Linked DNA regions of Mus musculus: region 2 is reported to be linked to region 1. Evidence: microRNA targets listed by miRTarBase, many of them from high-throughput screens and not tested one by one. Region 1 holds a microRNA gene; the other region holds the end of a gene's coding sequence. Distances are from middle to middle.
What was found. The annotated mature microRNA mmu-miR-758-3p reads UUUGUGACCUGGUCCACUA and lies in region 1 at 1,180-1,198, opposite strand. An mRNA with a match to its seed (bases 2 to 7 or 8) in the 3' UTR can be bound and repressed. Matches are read on the target gene's strand: a 7mer-m8 pairs with bases 2 to 8, a 7mer-A1 pairs with bases 2 to 7 and ends in A, and an 8mer does both.

Region 1 (3,110 bases):
GTTGCCTCGGTGGCTGCCATCTTCCCCAACTTTGGAACACCATATTGGTTGAGAAGTCCTCCTGAGAATGGACAAGATACTGAAGGTTAGAAGCACAGGCAACAGAAATCTGATGTATGGGATGGGTTTTGTCCGTCACTCACTTGTTCATAACTATTAGTGTGTCCTCAGCTGAGGCTGAGGTATGGACCAGAAGGCCTCCATAGTTTGTTCTGATGGGAAGAGAGGTTGACCAAATGTGTTTCAAACACAGAAACCCCTCTTCCACATCCTCAGTTAACAATAACAATGACACCTTCCCAAACTGGACCTTCAGACCTGGCAGGCCTGGGAGGGTTTAGAGGACAAAGGACACCATTCAGAACGATAATCCACTCGCTGGCTTTGTGGAGAACCAGTTATTCCTGTCCCCTGGCTGGATGCTGACAGGACCATCCTTCCCTGAGACTGGGATCTGGACCACGAAGCCTCCAAGATGGGATTTGATACTGAAAAAAAGGTTAGCTGGGTGTGTTTCATTCTCATCAAAGAAACAGAGACCCAGAAAACCTCTCTTCCGGTACCAGAAGCGAACACTGACAAGACTACCTCGGTAATTCCCCAACGTGACCTTCAGACCTGGCAGGCCTGTTGAATGCAGGGTTGCACACTGGATGTTAGTCAAAGTGCTCAAGCAAGCCATTAGTTGATATATATCTGACAGCCATCCCATCACATGCCCCAGTACAGCAGACCTCCATGGCATGATCCTGAAGTTATGTCACAACCAGAGAGCAGTGGCGCAGTAGAGACTGGCTATAGGACTTACCACCATTTTGGGTAACCACAGAAAGGCACAGATGCCCCCAAACCAAAGATGATTCCTCCCACAGATTTAGCATGCAAGTGTGCTAAGGTGACCTGCGACCTGTGCCATATATAAATGGCATACACACACCCTGGTCATGTCTGACAACATGGTACGTTTCTTGAACTTGGATGGCCCCATATCAAGGAAGGGATCCAAGTATAGGACAGCATTGGAAGCCCATCCAATACTACCATAACAGGCACATATGTTGCAAGTACTGAGGATGCTGTCTCCAAGTCTAACAGCGTACAGCTGGCTTATTGCCTCTGTCCCCAAAAGTTGAGATCTCTTCCAGGAAGTTCTCCAAGGGAAGGTTAGATACTGAGGGTTAGTGGACCAGGTCACAAACGGCACAAATATAGCGTGTGCTCTCTGGTCAACCACCTCACGCACCCACACGTGTATCACATGTCGATGCCACTTTCCTGGTCTGCAAGTCACCCTGCCCACGAAGCTGCCAAGCCAGAGAAATTTGCTGAGAAGAAGGCTGCCACACAAGAGTTATTGTCAGACACAAGAAAAGACAAACCCGCTGGCTGGGTTGCGCTAGCACACACATTTAGTGTCCCCACCCCACAGCTGGTGTTAGCTCCAGGAAAGCTCGCAAGGCGGGATTAGATACCGCAAAGAGGTCGACCGTGTAATGTGCGCCATAAATGAAGCGAACGCGCCACGGACCACCTCTCTCCAAGTACCAAGCAGCAGCAGTAGGAAGACCGGGACACTGGCTCTTCCTCAAAGCAGATGTCACCTCCTGGAAGTCTTCCAAGGCGAGATGTGATATTGAGAAGAAGTAGACCATGTGTCCTACGTCATAAATAAAGCGTACACACCATGGTCAACCGCATCTTCAAATACCTTGAGGTAACGCTGGCTGATTCCAGCTCACTTTACTTAATTTGGTGTTACCTCCAAAATGCCTTCTCAATGAGTGTCACAAACTACCAGCAATCGGCATGTGTGGCAATGGCCACAAACTCATGTTTAATGCCACTATGACTTCCAGGATGCCCTGTAAGGCTGGGCTGGGTGCCAAATATTGGCTTTGGATCAAATGGCCAGAGTCGTAGGTAATGAACATGGCCTGTAGCCAAGCACTGGGTAATCTGTGTTGGATAGGGTCTGCCGCCTGAGCCCTACTCTCAATTGGTATGGCTTTCAGAAAGCCCCTGGTGACCGGCTGATGCAGAGATGTGGTGGACCATGCTGTACATGCTGGAATTAACGCACACACTCGACAGTCTACCATCTCCCCAAGTACTGTGCTGAAGCCAGGACAGGATATCTCCCATGAAGTTGGCTCGGTCTCTGGAAAACCCTCACGAATGACTTTGATAACGAGAAGATGTGGACCATACTACATACGACACAGAAGTAGCGCATGTTCTATGGTCAACCATCTTTTCAGGTACCATGGAGAGAGGGTGGTGCAGGAGCTGGCTTCTTTCCTCATGATTATCACTTCCAGGAAACCCTAGATGCAATGTTGAAAAGAGACCACCATGCATTGCCTGCTGCAGATGCAGAGAATATAGCAAAGAGAAGTTTGCAAGGACGCGAAGAGAAGACCCCGTAACTAGCACTGTGCCTTTAAGGAAATATTGTTCACAGGAAGCCCCCAAGGCGCATTCACTATTATGGGAAGGTGGACCAAATTAACATGCGCTGTAAGTAAAGCAAGAAGCATGGACAACCTCTACCCCAAGGCATTTGTCCTTCTGCCTTGCCCCCCCACCCCCAAGGTTAATGGGGCCTCTTTGGAAACCTTCAAAGCTGAAGTTGATATTGAAAAGAGTAGGCCAGGTTACAAATGGTGTTAATAATACACATGCAGTTTGCTTGATCCCTCTTCAGGTACCGTGAGGTCATTGCTGATGCAAGAACCAGAGCCCTGTCTCTGAGGCTAGCAGCATCTTCAGCAAGTTCTCCAAGGCTGGGCTGGAGGTAAGAAGAAGTGAGCCAAGAAGCAACTTTGATCTGTAAGCATACATGGAGGAGCCAGGCTGGGTCATCTTCCTCTAGAAGGCTAGACTTGATATGGAAAAAAAGATACTATATACGAAGCATCAGTGGAAACAGGGACTGTGTCTTCATGCATCTGTCTTTGCACTGTATCATGTAGCCCTAGCTGTCCTTCTATGGGCATAATGTCTTGAAGGCATCTGATGATAGCTTTGCAGATGATGAAAACACGCAGCATCCCTTGATGATGAGCATCTGTGGAGCTAATTGCCACTTTTTCAAGTCCTAAGGAGGGAGG
Region 2 (3,084 bases), 38 Mb from region 1:
TTTCTATTACTGTGCTAAAACACCATCACTATGACCAAAGCAACTTAGAGAAGGAAGGGCTTATTCTGGCTTCCGGTTCCAGAGCATCATCATCATCATCACAGTGGAGAAGCCTGGCAGCATTCACGCCCACATGGTGGTTGGGAGAGCCAAGAGCTCTCCCCTCAAACCACAAGCAAAAAGCAGAGGGAGAGTAAACTTGGAATGGTGCGGGTCTTGAACCCTCAAAGACAGTGACGTCAACTGGGGACAAAGCATCCAAGTGCTTGAGACTGTGGAGGACATCTCAAGTCACCAGGCCGTTGGACAGAAGTGGGACATCTGTCATAGAGATCCACAAAATGAAAGATGCATATGATAAAATAAAACACAAGGTTGGAAACTTCATTTTCATGAAAAAGGGCCAAGGGTATTAGTATATGTACATTGCATATAACAGTTTTTATGGAGATACACATCCCCCAAGTGCAGGATTGAGAAAGAATTGAAGAAGTTTGTTTTTGTCATTATTTAAGTATTATTTGGCTAGTTCTGTTTTTATAATGAGCACAACTTTTTAAAATAAGGAAATATTCTAAAGAACTCTTGTTTACAACAATAGCAGGTGGCCTGACATCCTCTTCTGGCCTCTGAGGGCACCAGGCATGCACAGAATGCATAGACACAAATGCAGGCAAAACATTCAAACACATACATTTAAAAACAAACAAGCAAGCAAACCGGTTAAAGGTTATCATGTAGACTCTCTCAGGCCCGTTGTGATGTTCAATGAGGAAGAGAGAGGCACAAGGAAAGCTCTTTCCTTAGAATGTTAGTGAAGGGGGAAGACGAAACTGGTTTTAGAAAACCAGTTTCATTTTTTAACAAGGCAGTAACTCAGGCGAGGATCAGCAAGGTACACTAATACGCCAAAGTAGAATTTGAAAGACATAAAGAATCTCCCATCAGCCGGGTGGTGATGGCGCACGCCTTTAATCCCAGCACTTGGGAGGCAGAGGCAGGCGGATTTCTGAGTTCGAGGCCAACCTGATCTACAGAGTGAGTTCCAGGACAGCCAGGACTACACAGAAAAACCCTGTCTCGAAAAACCAAAAAAAAAAAAAAAAAAAAAATCAAGGCCAGCCTGTGCTAAATAGTGAATTTCAGACCAGCCTGGGCTACAGTTTAGACCCTGTCTCAGAAAACAAATAAACAAACAAACAAAACAAAGACAGGTAAGAATTACCTGAACTTAAACTACCTCAACTTTTAACTAAGGAAATGTTTTGGGGGACTGAAGAGATGGCTTACTACCTATGAGCCCTTATTGCTCTTACAAAGGACCTTGGTCCAATTCTCAGTACCGACAGAGGAGTTTCCAACCATCAGTAACTCCCGTTAATTCTTGTGACCTCCACAGGCATCAGCCAAACACACGGTCCGCATCCACAGATGCAGGCAAAGCACACCAGCCAAACACACGGTCCGCATCCACAGATGCAGGCAAAGCACTCACACACAAAAATAAAACTCATAAACCTAATTTAATTTTTTTAAAAAAAGGTTTCCGATTCATTATCCTCTCTGAGCTGGGTAAAACCTATTTAATTATTGCAAATAATATTCTACTCTAGAACAAGTCTAATGTAAATCTCAAAAATAACACCAACAGCCAGCACAAGATTTATAGGTGTAAACATCTGGTTTTTATAACAAATAACAAAGTTTAACAGCAATAAAACAAATCATTTAGTACAGCATATAATGTGTTATATTAAATTTACACAATGATATATATAAAACACATACTGTTTATATCATACAGTAATTCAGCAACAGGAATATCAAAACAGGAATCCAAAGAACTACTACTCATGCACAAAACATGCATATATCAGTATTTTAAAAACTCTATTTTACACAATACTGTTTACCAAAAGCTTTTTTAAAAAATGTAATGCCCTTCCAGATAAGTCAGCGGTCCGGTGAGGGTTGAACTGCACTACTGTTCAGGCCAGTGCTTGGTGAGAGCAATTCTGGGCTTGGAGTCAAGCCCAGTAAGGGTGAATTTCTTTGCACCAAAGGACCAACACTTTATCCCAAAGACAAGCCCTCTAAGGGACAAACAGTTGTATTGGCTACAAATTAGGAGCAGAGAGATAGAAAGGCATCAAAAACTGCTGGATATATGGCCCATGAAAGGGCTACTGTAACGAAGGCGGAGGCACTACAGGTGGCAAAGGTTTTTGTGAATCCTTTTAAGGTCCTATCAGTCTCCCTATCCAGTTTACCACCTCCAGATTAAAAGTCTGGTCTACTAAGTTCTAAATCCAGTAAAAAGTGTACTTCTAAGAAGAAAATAGGATGGAGAGACATCTGAGAGTGTTGTCTATAGTAAAAAATTTACAGAAAGCAATGACTGTTTTGTTTGTTTGTTTGTTTTTTCTACCTACTCTACACAATTGTATGCAATGCCCCTCAACCGGAAAGCCCTTTCAGGGACAAAGCCCTAAAGGATCAAGGAGCGAGTTCACGGCTTAAAAATTTTATCCACGAACCTTGGAAACAAAAGGTCTCATCCAAATAAAACTTGAACATCACACACCTGTACTTGGCCAGACACTCGGACGAAACATCTGATAATCAAAATGCATTCACTATCACCACCACTAAGACCTCAATATTCACTTCTAACTAGAGATACATCCTTCACCTTCCATTAAAGGCACTAGCGTCCATACATGACCGCGAGACATAATTTATCTTGGGTTTATCCTAGTGAAAGGAAAGTATTCCATTTAAGTATGACACAAATATTAAGACAACACCTTTTTCTTTTTCTCAGAGACTAGGGGGAGGAGAAGACACTCGCTACATCAGCTACTCAAACGGTAGTCATCAGTTTCAAAGAGCCAGAGCGGAAACGGAGGATCTTCTTCTTGAGGTTGTGCGAAGCCTTGATTTTGACAAAGGTTTTTGTGGGACGGGTGTGGAGGTCTGGGGCCGTGACCGTTTGAATCGGGAGAGTCTGGACAAACTGGGACCAGATTAAACCCCCGCTCTCCTCTGAGTCGCTGGTGGTGGTGCTCTCGCCCACGAAGTCGC

Region 2: the mRNA of Dact1 is a reported target of mmu-miR-758-3p. Seed matches in the 3' UTR shown: 7mer-A1 at 2,225-2,231.

The regions. Positions count from the first base shown.
Region 1 is chr12:109,710,946-109,714,055 of GRCm38, reverse strand. It overlaps Mir758 (microRNA 758), which reads right to left and starts at 1,246; the gene lies at 1,166-1,246. It overlaps Mir380 (microRNA 380), which reads right to left and starts at 2,253; the gene lies at 2,193-2,253. Mir1197 (microRNA 1197) reads right to left here and starts at 1,739; the gene lies at 1,620-1,739. It overlaps Mir323 (microRNA 323), which reads right to left and starts at 1,548; the gene lies at 1,463-1,548. It also overlaps Mir329.
Region 2 is chr12:71,318,674-71,321,757 of GRCm38, reverse strand. It overlaps Dact1 (dishevelled-binding antagonist of beta-catenin 1), which reads right to left. Exons shown (of 4, transcript NM_021532.4): 4 at 1,651-3,084. The coding sequence ends at 2,864. Among named protein-coding and RNA genes, the nearest start is that of Dact1, 10 kb to the right of the region's middle.